Lytechinus pictus: one gene and its partner. The protein of the gene in region 1 purifies or fractionates together with the protein of each later gene. This does not show direct contact. Links are inferred from orthologs where the notes say so. Each region holds a gene or a part of one and is shown on either strand. Other genes may lie near its edges.

Region 1 (10,870 bases):
AGAGAGAGAGAAAAAATTTCATTTTGAAGAACTTATCTCACTAAAAATTTGGAGAAGCTGTTCATCTTGAGTGTTTTCACAGAAACTGCTATTACCACAAAACTTCTACCTCTAATTTAGCATCTTTCTGTCTATTTCCATTCTGTTTTATCATCAATCTTCTGTATGATTTTTGTTTGTGTGTGTTACTTTGTTCTCATGTTTTCTCCTTGAACTACAGGCCAAATATTTTCTGAGGAGGAGACACTTTCTAAAATACAAAGATGAATTATCAACAGGAGGATTTATTCCAACTGAGAATGAGGATTCATAGCAGTCTATTGGAAACAAAGAACTATATTTTTATGTGTGTGTTTATGTACTTCTGAATGAGCAAGTTTGAATACTTTGTTAATGAAATGGAAATAATAATGAAATACTTTATGAATGTGATTCAGATGGAGTTCAGCTTCATGAAGCCATGGGAAAATTAAGCAACATAATTTGAATGGACCTTTCATTCATGTGCCTTTTCATTGGAATCAAGAATGTACAATGCAACCCTAAGGATGTAAATTGTACAATGTGTATCAAACAAGTCCCTACTTTAAGATAATCCAATAAAGTGATATATTTGTAATATCCTGAAGCTTTTCCATTTTTATACATTTTTACAGGCCTGACTGTCAGTGAATATTTCCACTTGAGTGCCCACCACTTACTTTAAAAAGTTAAAAGAACGATTTGGGCAAAACTTGTAAAAGTTATGTGGATAAAATTTGAAGAGCACATGAAATTTAGCTAAGAAGATTGATTGGAAGATATTCTCTACCTTATAACTTGTTTCCTTGCACAAAAGACTCCCTGGAGCGCCAATGCACTCCCCTCCACACACCTATCTGCTTTACATGTAGCGTTGATTCATATAAAATGGCTAAGGCTTGATTTCTCTTTTGTTATTCATTGTCATGGTTGGGAAAAGTGAGGTGATTCAAGTATGAAATGAATTATGAAATGTAAAGCCCCTTTAACTGACAAAACTTAATGAAAAAAATCCTGGTGATGTCTGGTGTTAACATTAATTTGTTTCATGTTATGTCATCAGATCTAGCTGGCACAATAAAAAAAAAGGCAAGTTACCGTTAAACGGTTGTGCTTACCATGGGTTAAAATGTTAATTTGGGTAGCAGAGTTGTTTCAAAATTTTTAATCTGTTTTATTTCCACTGACTAAAAAAGCCAAAGAAAAGTATTAGAAAAGAATGAGTACTATACTTTATGTTTAGTATACCTTTTGATGAAGCAATTGAACATTTATGTGTGTTGAGGTACATACATGTGTATTACAGTGATCATATGCTAATTATCAGATGCAGGTAGGTGTTTCATAAAGCTGTTTGTAAGATACGAGTGACTTTACGAACAACTCACTTAATTACCCTTTCGTAGGCGCTGAATTAACTTCAATGAAAATTTTGTGTATATCACTTATCACAAAAAAAATAATCACCAGTCGTTCATAAAATTGCTCGTAACGTACAAACAGCTTTATGAAACACCCACCTGGAATGTTTCCATAAATCTATGTGAACGTGTAGTCATGTACTACAATCCCTTTATTTCTTGGCAATATTGTTAAAGAGTGAAATTAATCAATTTGATATATATAAACCCATTTTGTTTCGAACAATCAAATTGTCATGGTAATGATGTGGTAATGGTTTAAGATTCATTTGAAGCTACAGAGTGTATTGTATAATCTTGCACTTGACAAGAAAATGATCATTAAAGGACAAGTCCACCCCAACAAACAATTGATTTGAATAAAAAGAGAAAAATTCAACAAGCATAACACTGAAAATTTCATCAAAATCGGATGTAAAATAAGAAAGTTATGACATTTTAAATTTTCGCTTCATTTCACAAAACAGTTATATGCACATCTCGGTCGGTATGCAAATGAGGGAGCTGATGACATCACTCACTCACTATTTCTTTTGTATTCTATTATATGAAATATGAAATATTTTGATTTTCTCGTCATTGTCATGTGAAATGAAGTTTCATTCCTCACTGAACACGTGGAATTCCATTATTTTAACATTTTGTGCTTCAGGCAAGGAGGTCCTAATCGTCAAATTCGTAAAAATTGAAATATTGTATCATTCAAACAATAAAAAACAAAAGAAATAGTGAGTGAGTGACATCATAGACTCTCTCATTTAGATGTAACTGGCTCGTTCATATAACTATTTTGTTAAAAATAAGCGAAACTTTGAAATGTCATAACTTTCTTATTTTACATCCGATTTTGATGAAATTTTTAGCATTGTGCTTGTCTGATTTTGCTCTATTGATTCAAATCAACATTTTTCTGAGGTGGACTTGACCTTTAAACACAGATAAACAACCCAAAACATAAACAGCCATACCATGAGGTAGATAAGTCTCTGCTTTATACAATAATTTTACATTATTACAGAGCTAAATATAGTTTAAAGCATAGAGAGGGGTGGATAGAGAGAGAAAGAGGGAGGGAGAAAGCAATTGTAGACTTGTTACAAAAGTAAAAATTCAACTTACATGCATGTGTCAGAGAAAAATAAGTATATATAAATATACAGGTGCAATGACTGACTATTGTATTGATGTCAACTAGGAAATGTTCTCTGAATCAGTTTGTTTACTCCAGTTATAGGATTTACTTACTGATGATGATATTTCTTAAGGGTCTAAGGTGATGATGATGCTCAATGATGCTAATGGTAAAGTTTAGATTTAAAGTCAAGAATCTGCAGTCATTATGAGGACAACTGCATTTACTTTTGTGTGTTGTTTGTATTTTCAATGTTTAGTATACTATTCTAATGAGCACTCAAGGGAGGTATGAGTTGAAATTTTGAATAGATTCAGCGGAATTGATTTATTATGCAAATTATTTCCATGATCCCAGAGATCTGATGTGTTGCATATAATTATACTGGTTAAAAGTTGAACACCTAATCTATCAAAAGTATTTAAGTGCTCTACAATATGTTGAATAATAATGATATAATTGTTTATGATTATATAGCACTTAACATTTACATGTTATCAGAAGTCATACTGCTAGGCTTGGCAGAACAGCTGTGGTCAACCAAAATGTTTTTAGAATTCTGATAACCAAAATTGATGTAAAAAGTCATTGCAGACGGATAAAGATTAGCAAATGGTTAGGATGTAGACCTTGTAAATGCATGTCTGATATTCCTACCTGTCCTATATTGTGTGTCACAGTATTGTATTTAATCATTTATTTTTTTCTATTTCTATTTTCGTTCATTTGATTTTATTGTAAATCTGAATTTTGTAAGCTACCTAAATAAAATGTAGGTGATTTCCTCACTTTCACTTACATCCTTCAAATCAATGATGATGATGATAATAATCATTTGAATAAATTATTAAATTAATATCAATTTACTTCTTGTGGTTATTTTTTTTGTTCAAAGCATACAACTGAAATCACAAAAAGCCAAATTATAAGCTTTGGATTTACTCTGCGCCTATTCCAAGCCAACTCCGAACATGTTTTCTTAGTTTAATACAATTTGAGCGAAGTAACCATTTTCTTGAGTTTTGAATTGAATCCTCTGATTAGATCATCAAAATATATGTTAATTCCTTATCTGAAAATGAATAGTGATCCCTATAGTTTCCCTCTTCTTGTATTTATTGAAAGCTACAGCAGATGTATTACCCTTCTTTTCAGATGTCATTATTACCAATAAATTCTGTTTATATGAGTGCTATGATGAATTTTTGTCATTTTCTCAAAGCAGGAAGTGGTTGCAATGAATATCGGCCTTTATTCAAATTATGAATGGTGAAATTGAAATTATGAATAGGTGGTATTTAAAAATGATCTTGCCCAAATCATGGATTGTTAGCAGAAAACGTCCGTATACTTTGCCGCCTTTGAATCTGAATTTATAGTGTGTACCCTCACAAAATATTTTGTTCAAACTTTGCCCCCACCCTGCCCCCCCAAAAAAAAAAATATATATAATCTCAAGATGTTAGTTGCGGAATGTCCTCTTCAGGCGTTTACTTTCGGAATTCAATCTCCTATAGAATGGAGAGTCATATGGAAAAGCCGGTCATCAACTTCTTTGTCAATTTTGTTCCTGTAGATGATAGGCCCCATGATAATGCCTACACGTACACTGTAAAACATATTTGGTAAAATTTTAACCAGCACGAGGGTAATTACATGTATGTGTCCAATACATTTGGGGCAGTATTTTACCCAATGCGGGAAGCATATTGTCCAGTAAGGTTTAAAAAATAAGCAGCAATTACTTTAGAATGGGCAAAATTTCATCACACTGGATAAATGAAAATGCCCAAAAGAAATGCACAATGTTGGTTAGACGCATAATTGCCCTCATGGAGCATTTCCGTTTACCCAATATTTTTTTATAGTGTACAGTCATGGGGAGAAGATAGGCCGCCGACCACACCTTTTAGTGAAATAAAAGGAAGAAAATAAAGCTATAAGAGTATAGACATGAGAGAGCTATGTCATCATTATAATACTCCCTATAGTTGCGAAAAATAGGCTTCATAACAAGATCGTCTGCCCCCCCCCCCCCCCCGGGGGGGAGGGGGGCAGTCAAATGTATTGCTGTACACATGCGTGACCAAATTATTTCCAAACATCCCCTAAACGTATTTTTCTCTGTGTGCTTAATAACCCCTAAACAAATTTTTCGCAGGCTTTATTTACACATTTTGGCCCCTAAACAAGTTGTCGCCAGAATATGACCCCTCAACAAGTTTTGTATACAATCGAGAAGAATCCGAACACTTTTCAGAAACGAGGAGGAAAAAGCCCAGGGGGAAAAAACATACCCTGCATGAATCACGTGATTGACAATTATTTACCAGTCTAAAACCACCCTTTTTCTTGAAAATCTTTGTTTTTATTACCCTTAAAGGGATGGTCCGGGCTGTAAGTATGTATAGCTTAATAAATAGAGTATAATTCACTGAGCAAAATGCCGAAAATTTCATCAAAATCGGATAACAAATAACAAAGTTATTGAATTTTAAAGTTTAGCAATATTTTGTGAAAACAGTCGTCATGAATATTCAATAGGTGGGCTGATGATGTCACATCTCCTCTTGTTCTTTTGTATTTTATTATATGAAATTAGGTTTATTCAAATTTTTCCTCCAAGAACTAGAAAAAATGGATTGACAACTGATTTAGTGCATCATATATTTATTGCTGCAACTTATTTCATTATAAGGGAGACATATTATTCACACAAGTATGAAATAATGAAAAAAAAAAGATTTTATGTAATAACATAAGAAAACAGAAAGTGGAGATGTGACATCATCAGCCCACCTAATGAATATTCATGACGACTGTTTTCACAAAATATTGCTAAACTTTAAACTTCAATAACATGATTATTTGTTATCCGATTTTGATGAAAATTTCGGCATTTTGCTCAGTGAATTCTACTTTATGTATTATATAAATATTTTCAGCCCGGACCATCTCTTTAACGAGAGCACGCGCGGCCCGCGTCCAAAAGTGATTGAAATAACAAAATAACATGACTTAATAAATACGTCATCCCTATATAACCCAAAGGTGTATATAAAATATTTTCTTGGCCTAAGACAAATGTTTTCAATATCTCTAAAAATAGACAAACTAAATTATTCTGCATGATAGAAAGGAAATCCTCTATATATATGTTTGTTATTAAAATGACTTCATTACAAGTATATACCTTTATATTTTTTTATTGTTATACAGATCATTGTCTCAAGCCTCTGATTCGATATCCACGCTTTCATAGCTCTAAATAAAATGGCGATAAAGACATTTTTAACTGTCGCCATATCATATTTGCAAAGGAGAAAAAAGAATTTTCCGGGGAATATTCCTCTGATATGTTGAGTACAATAATAAAAATACAATTTCAGTTTCATTTGTTGATTCCCAATAATAATAACTAGTTTGACCCACATGATTCTCTGAACTTTGATAGTCAAGATCAAGACACATCGTAGTTCGCTTGATTAACTGTGCATTTTCCTCTCCATAAAAAAAAAATCATAGAACAATTTATTAAGTTCCTGACATATCAAATGCGGAATTGAATCATGTGGTCATGTGGACGCTTATAAATATCTGGCTTGTTTGAAAGTTTTTAACAATAATGTATTTTATCCATTAAGGTTAAGTCTCTTTATATCTCTAGAATTCATACTCTGTTTTACCTGTATGTCTAAGCTAAAAACTACCCCTAATATTTTTATAAATGGTAAGTTTTTCGTTATAATACCCCCCCCCCCCCCCTTCTCTGGGCCTCTTCCACCGCCCCGAATCCTCGATCCCGACTCTCTCATGTTTACAGTGATACGCTAGCGCTCGCCGTACAAGTGCGTCTTTGATGGCACGGAGGTTGGCAGCAGAAAATCTTAGAAACATACACGCATTGACCCAAATAGCTCCGCGTGTGCTGCTCGCAGACGTACTCATTGCGCTATTTTTTTACTTTAATTTAAAAAGCGTGTATGCTAAATGCGTGTATACTAAACAATGGCATCTTGGAGAAACTCTTAAACGAAAACTTCCGTGAGTATAAATACGGTTCTTGATATCATGTGCATAGAGAAATTAATACTTGTATTACTATGATTGCTTTCCTACGGATTCCTTTGATTAAAAATCCCAATAATTCACCTAAATCATTTGTAATACATTGTTTTCTCCCTTGCCTTCTCAGCTAGCAGCTCAGTGACGCCTTGGCTTGACTTTCGTTGGGACATCGCGAACAACCAGCGCTCTGCCCAGGGACGCGACGCCGATGTAGCACTGTAGCAGGCCGGCTCAGCTCACCTGTCCGTATCCTGCTACTGCTAGATAATCCAATCGAAAACGAAAAACATTTGTTAGGGGTGACATCTTCCCGCTTCTGATTGTAAAATCTCAGCATATTCGAAAATGTCAGGTGTTGAACTTAAGCCTATCAAAGAAGCAGGTGGAGCAAACATCCTTCTTCCATTAGGGAAAACAAACTTGGGAAGGGGTTCTTTCTTTGAGGTGAGTTTGACTGTCTACTTCTGTTACTTTTAATGTTACCTAGTCTTAGACTAAAAATTATAATGTTTAAAGCACTGGTGGATCCAGGGGAGCACATCCGGCCCGTGCCCCCCCCCCTTTGAGAAGCACAATTAAAACTTGTAAAAAATGCTGTTAAAACATACCGGTAAGTGTGCCCTTCAAAAGTGAAGACCTTTTGTTTTCTTTTTCTTTTTTTGCTTGTCAATTTTTTTCTTGGATGAAATCTACTATTTTTGGTTGAAACCTTTTTTTTTTTTGGTTATCAAATTTTTCCTTGGGAAAATGTGCCCCCCCCCCTTTCGAAAAATTCTGGATCCGCCCCTGGTTTAAAGTTAGATTTAAAATTAAATTAACAGTTCAGAGCCAGCGGCAGTGCAATTTTAATCTGAATCTGAAATTAAAATATTTTTTGCAGTTACATCTTATGGAGACTACTTCCCAGTTACCCCCATTCATATTTAGGATTAATCAAAAGAAGATGTCTGTCTCATCTTATTACCTTTATCAGCTCCAATTCAACTGACCTTTGCTGTAATTTGTATTGAAACTTGTTAATGAAAATAATTGTGAACGTGCAAAAAGGGATAAGATGGAGGAAAATGGAAATTGAAATAACTCCCCCCCCCCTGCTATGGACATGCCTGCTGTCTATGTGGTATTCTTTGATCCTTTTCCTTTTTCAAACATTTAATATTCTCCTTTCATTTCTGCTTTTGAAGTTTTATAAAAACAACTTGAGCTTGGTGTCAATAGATTAGACTGAATACTTCAGTGTCTGTTTCGCGGATTGTTCTGCTCCTTAGGCTGCAGTCATTCTTACACTCTTAACATCGAACCTATGCCCCCAAAAATCATGATTTCATTTTTTAACCATTAATATAACATGTTTCATCATAATATAGGTTTATGAAGGATTTAAATTTTGCAAATAATCTTAATCTATTCATCAACACCATCATGTTGCAATTTCATAGAGTTTAATATAAGAATCATTAAAATAATCAACACTCCCATTGTGGGGTGAATAATACTTGGGCATTGGTCCCTTACACTGAGCGAGAGCCGAGATGGCTGGCTATCATTGTAAGTGGAGAAAACAAAGCAGTAAAAAATGTTTTACAAATCCAAATAGACAGATTTCAGAGTCCAACCTAGGGGTAGATATCCCTTTTTAATGTACTCCAATATATTTTAGAGAAATTGAGAAGCAATCAAAGTCTAAAATCTATTTCATCTAGTTCAATATTCATTTTAAAATGGAACCCAATGCTACATTCTGTTTGAGCTCTTGAATAACTTATTGTTATGCCAAACTTTTTTTCTGATTAGAATAACCTGGTAGTGCATATTGCCCTTATAATTTTTAATCTAATAATGCACAAAGGTTTCACTGTTCTCTGGTATTGACCTTTTACATTTGCAGATCGCTGATAAACGAGTCTCTAGAAATCATGCTGTTCTTGAAGTGGAAGATGGGAAGATCAGAGTCATGCCAGTAAGTTGGGGTGTATGATTTTGGGATTGTTAAAGCTTTCAGTTTTAGAGTTAATAATCATCCTGATTGATTAAAAAAAATGTATTTTGAAGAGAAAATCTGAGTTGCAGTTTGTGGCACTTTGAAAACTTGATGAACATATTTTTTGTCACATGTGAAGTTTCATATTAGAGTTTCATTCTTTAAATGGGCAATTCCGTAAACTGATTAACCTTTTTGTACATCCGACCCCCATTTTTCTCCTGTCTTACTTCTCTTCATAACTAACCAAGTCATGATCATTTGAGAGCATTACAGACTGTCAAAAGAACCAGAAATCAGAAACAGAAAATTTCCTGTTGGTCTCACATATATGGTGTTGGACGTACATATTTTATGGAATTGCCCAAATGCTTTCAGATTGGAATAATGAGAATTTAGAAATGGCTGTAAGTTTTGTACATTTAGAAAGGTACATCAGGTTCAGTTCTGGATGCAGGATGCCCTGACTCTTTATGCTGGTATGAGTATGAAGTTGCAGAAGTGGGGAACAATCTGGGTCATATTCAGGGTTAATTTGTGACTTGTATGCATACCCATGTTCTTGTTTTGTATACAGTGAAATCCCTTTTAAATGGTAAAGTGAATTGATTTATTATTAATTGAATAATGAGACATTCTCACAATCGATATATATTTGTATAAATAAAAATTTGCCCAATTGCTTTGAACATTATTTTTCTCCCTGAAAACCACATGATCAGAACTGAATTTCTGAATTTTATTGGAAGTTTAAAAGAATGTCCAACTTTTGAGCTTGTTCTTAGGAGATATTTGGCCAAGTTTATATCTTTCTGTATATCTGATTTCAAGAAAACTTACCGGTAGTCTTAGACCTTACAGCAGTAAATGAATTGTCGAGTCTACAATTATAGGATTACCTGAGCATGTTTGTTAGGGTATCAACAAGATGCTCATTATTAACAACAATCTAAATGTTGTCATGTGTGTTATTTCTATAGATACATACGAACCCTACATTCTTTGATGGCGCAGGAGGAACTAAATTGGCACCTTTAACTAAAGACGTATGGCGAGACCTCAAACATGGAGACCGTATTGCTCTGACACCCGATGAACACATCTTTGAAGTTGTTATTGATTACAGACCTATTGTGCAAGAAACCCAGAGTCCAAGGTAAGAAAACAATTATACAGCACTGTAATGCAACTAAGATTGTTCACAAATTTATAGAATTATGCAATTGGATAACATTCAAATGTCAAATGATTAGGTTTTCTAAATAATATGCCTCCTAGTAGTATTTTAACCATTCTTCGACTAAAAGGGAATCTAATCCATATTGAAAGATTTATTAAATGAGAAAGAAAAGTATGAAAAGCAAAATGGTGAAAGTTTGAAGAAAATTCAGGTGAAAACAATAAAAATGTTTGTTGTTATGAGGTTATCACTGTACAGCAATATCTTATATCGTTTTGTACTACTTCAAGGGAAAAGGTGTTAAAGAAGACAATGGGAGTTTTGTCCTTAAGGCCCCCATTTCCACAGAGGGGATACCTTTGAAGGACCTTTGAAATACCAAAATTTGGCTACATGTAGGTCTTACAGCAGTCTCCAAGACCATTGAAATTTGTCATCTCTGTGGAATGGCTCAGAAAGACCCCCCAAAGAACTCTTAAAGACTGATGGATATTTCTTTCAATGGTCTTTCAGAGATCTTGTATGCAACAAGTGATCTTTCAGAATTCTTTCCATGGACTTTTCCTTGTCTTTCAATGATCTTTCACAGATCTTTCAATGATCTCTCATGAGTCTTACAGTGATCTCCGTAAAAATCTTGAGGGAATGTCGAAAGATCATGGAAAGACTACAGAACTTTGAAAGTTCTTCGAAAGACCGCTGAAAGACTATTTTGAACCGTTTCAAAAAGTTTTGGGACTCACGAGGACCACGAAGACCATTGACAGATCCATCAGAAATCGTCAAAGAACTCAGAGATCTTTGAAAGTTCATTGAAGGACCCTTGAAAGATCAAGCAAGTTTCATGATCTTACAGCAGTCTTTCAGAGGTTTTGCTGTATGTGGAATGGGGGTTTAAGAATCTTCTTATTCTGCTGACAAAGTTTCCAGTTTTTGTCTCGCGTGCGAAGCAGAGTGAGACTATAGGCGCCACTTTTCCGACGGCGGCAGCGTCAACACCAAATCTTAACCGAAGTTTAAGTTTTTGAAATGACAGCATAACTTAGAAAGTATATGGACCTAGTTCA
Region 2 (10,428 bases), on another chromosome or scaffold:
TCTCTTTTTGCTCATTCTAATCATATGACAAACGATTCATCAATGATATAATGTTGTGAAACATCTGTACTTGTCCTCTCATAAAGAGAACACCTCACCTTGTGATAGACTCTATAAAAGTGAGAATATAAGTGAAATAAGTACTAAAGTAATGAGGGAGTTGTACGTGTGTGACATCACAGATCTTGGTCGCATTGCCAATGGGAGGATCTACATGGCATAAGTGATCTCAATATCCAAATGCTCATAACTTTCTTATTATTCATGAATCTTCCTCAAACTTTCAACAATATGTTTCTTTGATTTTTCTCTTTGATATGGATTCAGCTGGTTTCAAGGCTTTCATTCTCCTTTAAATTATCCGCTTCTCAGATTGGAATATAAAAATTTTCAGCTCGCGTCATTTCTGTCAGTAGCAAAACCCCATACTTTTCATGATTAAATAGGTGAATAGAATGTCCCTTTTTCAGGACTAAACGTCAAAAGAACTCCCGCTTCGATTTGCAATAATCTTTTCCTGGATATAATCTTGTTCTTTATTATACAAACATCCATTAAACTGTCATTTTTTTTTCGCTTCGCACTCGCATCTATTGTTTTTTTTAGATACCCATCTTAATCATTGGTACCAAAAATGCATAGAATATCAAGCTTTCTGGTCAGAATATAAAGAAATTTCAGCTCGCCCTCGGCACTCGCATTATCTGTGTAGTGAGATATGTATATCCTCCTCATGAGTTACTACAAACAGTCCTAAACAGGCACCTTTTTCCTGTTTTCAGGTCAGTAAAAAATTTCAGCTCGCGCTTCGCGCTCGCATTAATTTGTTGGTGAGATATGTGTTTCTATCTCATGAGTCATATAAATATATATATATATGCATATGTGTGTGTGTGTTTGTGTGAATTTGTTTGTTTTGTGTGATATCGAGCGCCTTTGGAAAGTTGATTCATGATTTTGCCCCTCAAATCTTAAAAAAAGGATCGACGCCCCCGTGTATATATATATATATATATATATATATATACATATAGTAAAAAAGCTTGTATTTCTATTAATATACAAATGTATTGGCCTCATCGCAATAAAAGGGTTAATACACGAGATTTTGAAATCGCACATAACATGCATGATAATTTGTGTTACTTTTTGCTTGTTTCTTTCTTTAATTAAGTTTTTCAATCTCTCTCTATATAATTATGTTTTAGAAAGATTATATTTTTAAATTGATGTATATTTCTGTTATAATGAGATATGTTTAAGTGGAATTCAGGGAATGGTCGTACGCAGCAAGGGAGAAGGGGGGGAGGGCACATTCGCGATCTGCTGTTGTGAAAAACGATTTTTTTTTCCCCCTTAACATTTCATGAAAACTATGAAAAATGTGCAAATGTGAGATGTACGTGCACCAAATTTTCGAGTCTTGCCCCCCCCCCTGGAAATATTATCTGCGTATGGTCATGCAAAATGACATGACTGGAAATCCTATACATTTTGAAAAGAGCATTATTTTGACAGGGTCAGACTTTACCCCTTTCGGGCGCCGGTGAAGTGCGCCGCGCGCTCGGCATGCAGTGCGCCCCCCCCCCCTTTCGCCAAAAGCTGGATCCGCCTATGAATCTAACACTGATTCTAGGGAGGGCACCTACCCACTGGGCATTTTACCCGATATTACCCGGGTTGTAACAGGTAATAACGTAGTTATTACCACGGTAACACCAGTGGGTAGTAACGGGGAAATAGTAGACCAATCTTTCCCCGTTATTACCCGGACCCGATATTACTCAATTTACCCAATATTACCCAGTATGATGTAACCGATATTTCCAGTTATTTTAATGATATCACCACCTCATATTACTCTGTTTACCCAATATTACCCAATTAATGTCGGCTCATTAAAAAAACAATTAGTGTCATTAGGGTCATTGAAGCACATTTTTACAACTCCATACTCTAAGCCATATCATCTTATCCTATCCTAAAATCCTACATCCTAATCCTAATCCTATCCTACACCTATCCACCAAACCCTGTCATTTACTTCTATATATTGAGCGAGTTTACAACACTTGACAAATTATGGTTAACAATTATTCAACCCTAAAACATTTTTCTAAAATTAATGTCATGATTATGACTAATATGATATATAAACTACACATTTTTCTGAAAATTTTCTGGGTGGAATAATTGCATAAACATATTAATTATTACAGCTATATTAGCTAAAATTTTGGCCATTTATTGTAGTAATGAATATTCATGAGTAACTAATATTCCCAGCATTTTCCTGATTTTACCATCTGATATTACTCCATTTACCCAATATTAATGGGTTCCGCATGGGTTGGAGGTCTCGTTTCCATCTGAGTCCTATCTGGGCACCAGTGGCGTACCGTGGGTCACGGCATTGGGGGGGCACCAGCAAAAAATTAAGTCACTTAGTTGTCAGGTACTCTGACCTAATAGAGACATTTTGAGGAAGCACTTGTAGTCATTGTAATCATGAATAACATACGCATCTCAGCAATCAAATAATGCGAGCGCGAAGCGCGAGCTGAAAATTTTTGATATTCAGACCTAAAAAGGGACTTAACAATCGAATTTTTGTGATCATGATACGTACCTGTCTCGCTAAACAATGCGAGCGCGAAGCGCGAGCCGAAAATTTTTGTATATATTGATCACAAACAGGGAGATCTTAAGGACTATATTTTAGGAATCTCTTAATATTATACATATCTCACCATAGTCATCTAATGCGAGTGCCAAGCGCTTGCTGATTTTGTTAGAATTACATTTAAACACATATGAAACACTTGTAGTCATTGTAATAATGAATAACATAGGCATCTCACTAATCAAATATTGCGAGTGCGAAGCGCGAGCTAAAAAATTAGGAATTTCAAACATGAAGAGGGGCAATTTAAGGCTTGTTTGTAGGAATTAGCGAAACCATACGTACTTCAATAACCAAATGATGCGAGCGCGAAGCACGAGCTGAAATTTGTGTATATATTGACCCAAAACAGGATTTTTTTAAAGGAACCCATTAAGAGTATACATATTTCACTACAGTCATGTAATGCGAGTGCCAGGTGCTTGCTGATTTTGTTAGAATCACATCTGAACACATGAAGCACTTTTTGTAGTCAATGTAATCATGATTATCATACGCATCTCACTAATCAAATATTGCGAGCGCGAAGCGCGAGCTGAAAATTTAGATAATTCAGACCTGAAGCGGGGCAGTCTAAGGCTTGTTTGTAGGAATTCACGAAGACCATACGTATTTCACTAACCAACTGATGCGAGCGCGAAGCGCGAGCTGAAAATTTTGGATATTTAGACTCATGCAGAAAAAGGGATATTTCAAGGACTGATTTTAGGAATTCATGGAGAGCAGACATATCTCACCAATCCACTGAAGCGAACGTAATCACGGACAGGAAATGTTTTATATTAAGACCTTAACATGGGGCAATCACTTTAAGTAGTCATGAAAAAGAACCATATGTCACTATATAAAACAATAATATATTTGGTGTATATTGACTTGAAAACGGGAGGTTTTCGTACAACAGGTTTATATATCTCTTTAAACAGACAATGCGAGCACCAGGAACAGTGAAGACATGGACCCTGAGCAAATTATGTTTCATAAAGTTATGATAAAAATGTTTCCTATGTAAAATAACAACATGATTGTAATACAATATACAATTATAATGAATAATAATTTCTTCTTTCCCACTACGTTCCTCTTCCTTTCTCCCTCTTTTTCTCCTTTTCCCCGTTTTTTTTTTTTGTGTGTCAGCCGATTGGGGGGGGGGGGGGGCACGTGCCCCCCCATGCCCCCCCGTAGTTACGCCACTGTTGGGCACCATGTGGGTTCAAGTATATGTTTTCATCTGGGTTCCATGTGGGCCCATATGGGACCCAGATATCCCAGATAAGAACCGTATGTGATCCAGATACTTTGCTGTCTGGGAATGGAAGCGTTTCAACATTACCCATTACCCCTTATCAACCTGTTTGTAACTGGGTAAAATGTTGGTTTCATCAGGGTGATAACAGTAATTTTTTGGACTTTGAAAATTTCGCTGGGATTGCTGTAAGATTGCTCTTATTACTAAAGTTTGCAATGTTATAACCAATCAAAGTTTGTTGTTGTTGTTGTTATTTTAAATAGGCAAACTAGTCAGTTTTGACTATTGTTGCCTTGTAAATTTGCTTTCCCTTTTTTTTTCAAAAAGAATAATTTCTTTGTTCAATCTATATCAGTTAAAAAAAGTAAAGGAAAGATAGGAAAGAAAAGTTCCTAGGAAATCGTGCAAGACCACCTCATTCAACATTACCCTTATTACCCCTCATCACCCTGTTGTAACTAGGTAAATGTAGGTTTCATCAGGGTGATAATTACAGTAACAGGTATCAACAGGAATTATAATTTCGGTAATAACATGGTAATAATTAACGGTAATATTTGGTGTTACTCAAATTTCCGGGTGATATTACCGGTAAAATTGGTAATCGGTAACAAATTGCCCAGTGGGTAGTACTGAACTTCTTTTTTTCCAAATTGGAAAGATATATAACCACTATGGAACTAAATTTTTACGGGCGGAAGAATTAGGGCCATTTGACTCTCGATCTCAAGTGATGAATTTGATCCCGTAGATCTTCATAAATGCTGATTTATTTTTAAAATGAGCCGGTCGAGGTACCCTTTTCTGGTCAGATATGGAATGTCAGACATTTATCCTATCCACTGATAGTAAACATTCAACCCTCGAATTTCCTCCTTATTTTTAAGGAATTCTTTTTAGGTACCACTTTAACACACGAGTCTATGGGGATTGAATTAGGCCTGTGATACCTTATGCCTAGCCTATCCACCCGGCCTTGACTCGGCTCATGTGTTGCTTAAGCCCGCGGTGCTAAAGAAACTTGCATGCAATCAGTTGCAAATTTTTGCTGCTAAATTAATCTACAATTGATAATGATATTATTTTAACTACTTGTTAAAAGAAGGAGATCAGCAATCAAGTGTGGATTCGCAATAATTGCCAGATTTATTAATTGTGACTGATTTTCTAACCAAAATTTGACTAGTAATTGATTGCAATTGATTAATACAACTTCCATGCAACGCATGGTAAGGTCTCGACGTATATTGGCAATTCATACAACATAGTCTGCAGACACAAACCCTTTGATTTCACAATTCGCATAGTGCATATATGCAATATGCATAGTCTGAATTAGTGAGACTATATTCACTGAATACTATGGATGGCTCTACAAAGAGACAGAAAAAGAGTTTGAAGTTTATAGGCTTCACCTCAGCTTCACTCTAGACATGATTATTCAAATAGGAGTCTGTGTTTGCAGACTAAATGCAACACACGCAGCTGGCTGGTACACGCAAAGGGTACACGTCCAAACACCAACGCGAAAACGCATTTAGCGATTACGTTATTGTTTTGGGCATGATTGGACAAGTAGTGGTGTATCATCGCACCATGCATCATTGACTGAACTCTCGGAGTGAACTATAAATCTAACTGCTTTCCTGGAGTAAAGATCAGTTTTACATGGACTTCAGCCGTGCCGATTTCTGGAGTGTTCAGTGTTTTCCATCATTAATGTAAGGATTTTCCTCCTCAGAAAATGCAAGAGGTGAAGAGTGTGCTTTCTGATCTGGTACTCGGTGCTTGCCGCCTATGCAATAAAAAGTGGATGCCGGTTTAATTACCGGCATGTGCGATTTATTTTGCACGCAAGTGAATGGCCAATCTCACGTTTCCTTGAGCTTGAGTTGAGAGCTGAATGTTTAATGTTTTCAAAAACGGCATGAATGATTTTTTTTACTATATATTTTCAATATGTTTAAGTGTAATGCAAAGATGTGACTCTGACCGTGATATGGTGTTTGTATTTGTAATTGTATTGTAATTAAGAGTAGGCCTAGGGTGTCTGGAGAAAAATATTATTTTTCTTATTTCAAGAAAATATCACATTTTCTTTGTGAATTTGAAGAGAAATGACCTTCAGACTGACAGAAATGTAACATTTTTGAAAAAAATCTGATTATTGGCTGCAAAAAAGAAGAATGAAATTAGGTCAATTTTCAGCATTTCTCTGCCATACTGTGTAGTTAAGAAATGGACACACACAAATCCAAATTTTTAGCTTCCGAGAGCTGTTATAAATTTATTATTAATGCCAAAAACTTGTCCATAAAGAGTCCAATAGGATTTTTATGCTCTTTCTGATGGTATGATTTTTATAAAGATTTGGAAACCAGATCACAATGAAAAATTGCGACAAAGTGAAAAAATTGTGCAAAACAGAAATTTCATTTTCCCATAGAAAACGCATGGGGAAATGGCAATCTCAACACACACAAAAATAAGGGTTTGCAATTTATCTCTAAATCCTTATTCAAAATGATCATATAAACTTGTCCTTACTGTCAAAAGAAGCCCCTGAATTTTCTCTTTCCATACATGCCAAACACAAGTTAATAATCAATTCAGATCACATTTTTCTAGTAGCCTGAACTTCCCGAAAAAAATGTTCCATATTTTCCCCTAAATCAGCCTGTCTTATGCTGACACTTTTCAGTGTGGCTTCAGACACCCTATTAAGAGTTAAGACAGGGAGGCGGTGTAGCTCAGTCGGTTAGAGCGCCTGTTCCGGATAAGATCGTAGATCTCAACGTGCGTGGGTTCGAGTCCCGCAGCATGCCGGAAGACGTCTAACAAAAAAACTGATGCTAGCGTTGTGTGTTAACGTGCCTCGCCGCTGTGTTCAGTGCGGGTGTGAATGCAGTTGGAAAACACTCCGTCCATCGGAAAGGACGCAAATGTTGGTCCCGTGTATAGGAGAGTCACAACCTATGCACGTTAAAACCAATATACACTATTCGTCAAAGAGTAGGGTGTTCACCCGGTGTATTGCACCTGCCGGTCCCCGGTACTACAATACTGCAAGAATCTCCAGGATTGAAGGAGGCAGTGTAGCTTGAAGAAGAAGAAGAAGAAGACGACAAAAAAAGTGCCGGGCCGGCTGCAAAGAAAAGTCACACTCACAGCTGACATCGACAGAGTGCAGTGTAACTTTTGACTAACTTAGTATTAGATAAGTAATGTTGTTAAAATTGAGTTTGATCGATAGCATGCCAATTTCACTTTGAACACTGAATGAATGACTGATTAGTGTCTTTTTTAGTGATTACACGATCGCCATGAAAATTTGCAAGGGTGTAGATCTAATGTCGGATGTTGACTACAAAAAAGTACAAGAGTCAAGACAATGATAAATTTAAAAATAATTTTGTAAAAAATTGTATATTTTTTAATTAATTTTTTTTTAATTCTATGCAAATAAAAGCATATGAAAATCACATTTGCCTTTTTTAATTTTAGCTCACTTTAAATTTCTCATTTTGCTAGTAATACTAATTTTTGGTGAAAAAGATTAATTTTGACATTTAATATTTAACATAAGATAAAAAAAAATGACAACATAATTTCCTTTTAATTTCTTTTGTTCAAGTTCAATTTATTTATTTTCTCACCAATATAAAAAACAATATGCAAATATGTATAAAGAATGAAAATTACATGTATGAGAGAAAAACGGAAACTACTGAAAAGTTCATAAGAACTTGTGAGCTGTAGCTCCCAGTTAATTTCTTTTGTATTTCTTAACTTAGTTTTTAAAAGCTTACCAACAAAATAATTACCTAGCACATTTTCTACCTTTGAGTTCTCAACACTAAGTGTCTACTGAGCTGAGGAGGCTACTAGGGCATGAAACAGGCTCACAACGAACAACAACAACAAAAGATTGAAAGTGGGCGCAGTGACCATTAGTAGATAGAGACCAGTCCTAGGGCCTACATATAAAGTTCTTTATCTTTATTTTATTTCGGCATCTGGAATAATGCTGCCTGAGATACATCATCTACAGATATAGGCTATGACATCTACATGTACATATGTTTTTAACTTATGAATAAATATACATTGCAGGCTGTGAGATCTATATTTGTGAACTTACGCCTACTTTAGCGAAGACCATTATTTTTGCCTAATCTGCTTATAGACTAACCTATCCCCCCCACCAAAATAAAAAAATTACAAAATTACAAAAATTCACCATCTAACTTAGTAACATGTGTTTTTATTTCATGGCATTCACACGATAACAGTATTAGGACATAGTCCTACATATTCATAAATACATGTAGTAAACTGGAGGAACCAACACTTTCAAGAGAGTTTACCAAATAAAATGGGCTTTTATAGGAGAATAGGCATGTGTGTAATGGTGATGATTTATCATTTTGATAGGGAGTTGGAGGAATAAGAAGAAGGTTTGGTAACTATCTTATGTTTTTTATTTCTCTTTGATCACAGTGATATTCAGGTGATGTGGATCTATGAGATCTAAGGTTTACACCGCATTCCATCGTGGTTGGACTGCATTAAAAGGAGCTTCTGCAAGGCATGGTCAGCAACATCTAGTTTATCACACCTCGGTGTCATTCACTGTTGATCTTCAACTAACATATGACACTTGCTCCTGTAGACAACCTGAATTTCCAAAGTCCTATCGAAGCAGTGCACTTTCATTCAAATTCATAAGAGAAGCAGAACGAATCCTAGGTCTGATTGGTTCCTCTTCAAGGGTTAGTACTCTTTTGTCAAAGACAGCTTCAGGAATGGATGATGAGAAAGCCTTCATGGTTGACTATGCCCGCCTTGGGACATCAAAATGCAAGCGATGCAAGCAGGGGATCGAGAAGAAGTCACCCAGGATTGCCAAACTCACAGCAAATCCTTTCAGTGACGATGGGGGCATGATGAAGAACTATTTCCACATCAACTGTGTGTTTGAGACGTTTGTTCGGGCGAGGGCGACAACGAAGAAGATTGAGGATCCAAGCGACTTGGATGGTTTTGAGAAGATGGAGGACGAGGAGAAGAAATTAATCCGAAAGAACATAGAAGGTGAGAATGTCACGTTTACTTTGACATGTTTCTGAAATCTGAAAAATATAAGTTGTTCATACATGTAGTTAGTTACAGACATTGAATTTTTGTCAGCTACTTAAATGCGTTTTAGTTTATTCCCCCTTTTTTGCCTATTGCTTATATTATCTTCTGGCCGTTGAAACATCATCCCGCCATTTCCAGCACCTTTCATTATTGATCTTAATGAGAATGTTCAATGTATTTGTGCAGTTGAAACCTGAGAATATTTGTGAATTTGGAATCTGGCCATATTTCCTCATGTAGGCAGTCTTCCCCTCCCTTTGTCTTTGTTCTTCCTTTTCTCACTCATTGTCATTTTACTGTTTTCTTGTTTTCTTCTTCCTTTACCCTAGTTTCATGATTTTAATAAACAATCATTTAAATGTACTTTTTTTGTTTTCTGGATCTTTTCATACACAGAGCTATTGTCCAGAGTCAAAACGCCCAAGAAAACGCCAACCAAGAAGAAAGGCACAGTTCAAGGTGTCCTTACAACAGGCGGTCAAGTTTTATCCCCATCCAAACATCCAAAATCAAGTAAGTCTGTAAGGAAATGTGAAATGATTCTTACTAGATTCTGAAGAAGCAGGTCTTGTGAAAGCAATTTGTATAAGGGAGGAATGTTGGCTAGATATAAAAATATTTCAGTCACATAATGTAAAAAAATGGCTTTTAAGAGGGAAATGAAGAATATGGGCTGAAAGAAAAATCAGAAGATCTAGGTACCGGCATATTTAATGTTACCAAACAGGAAGTAATCCTTGAATGTTATCACAACATTCAAGGAAGTGTTTTTGAATTGGATTGAATTGCAAAATATGAATAATAGTCTTTGCATTGAAGCTAATTTGAACAAGCCCCTCCTGCAAGAATTTATCCCATCGATAAATGTGCTATCAGTGGTTGGTAAACTATTATTGCAACTACATTTGCAACAAAGCTGAACAGTCAGTCTAAATCAAGATTTCACTTGAAGATATTGTAAGTTATATGCTGATCTGTTTCTTGTTTGACAAATTTGAAGGACTTGATAGGCGAAAGGCCCAACTGCACAAGATGGGACGATTGAGGGTGAAGTTGTAGTGATGATGATTATGTTGATGGTGATGATGATGATGGTGATGGTGATGATGATGATGATGATGATGGTGATGATAAAGATAATCATGATTATGATTATGATAATAATCTGAACTCTTTCATCAATTCTTTTGTGATTACAGGTACTAGCCAGCCCGCATCCTCTCACCACACCTCATCGAGTTCTGCTGCAGCATCCTCCTCCTCTGCCACCCCATCACCAACCCCCTCCAAAATCTCTTACCAAGGGGACGGCAGTGACCCCCAACATCCAGACAATTCATTCCGAGAGTACCGC

Evidence for each region.
Region 2: the proteins of aprataxin and PNK-like factor (region 1) and DNA ligase 3-like purify together in Homo sapiens (affinity purification with mass spectrometry; 3 studies listed by BioGRID and IntAct, counting the BioPlex papers as one, with this or other methods). This does not show direct contact. The link is inferred for Lytechinus pictus from reciprocal best matches to the Homo sapiens genes APLF and LIG3.

The regions. Positions count from the first base shown.
Region 1 is NC_087251.1:25,299,713-25,310,582, forward strand, and holds the start of aprataxin and PNK-like factor, read left to right. Parts: upstream 1-6,393; 5' UTR 6,394-6,618; intron 6,619-6,769; 5' UTR 6,770-6,987; coding exon 6,988-7,086; intron 7,087-8,530; coding exon 8,531-8,602; intron 8,603-9,603; coding exon 9,604-9,779; intron 9,780-10,870. UniProt on the Homo sapiens protein: Histone chaperone involved in single-strand and double-strand DNA break repair.
Region 2 is NC_087258.1:1,784,697-1,795,124, forward strand, and holds the start of DNA ligase 3-like, read left to right. Parts: upstream 1-5,483; 5' UTR 5,484-5,653; exon of another isoform or gene 5,654-5,957; intron 5,958-7,038; exon of another isoform or gene 7,039-8,432; 5' UTR 8,433-8,455; coding exon 8,456-9,026; intron 9,027-9,470; coding exon 9,471-9,587; intron 9,588-10,273; coding exon 10,274-10,428. UniProt on the Homo sapiens protein: Isoform 3 functions as a heterodimer with DNA-repair protein XRCC1 in the nucleus and can correct defective DNA strand-break repair and sister chromatid exchange following treatment with ionizing radiation and alkylating agents.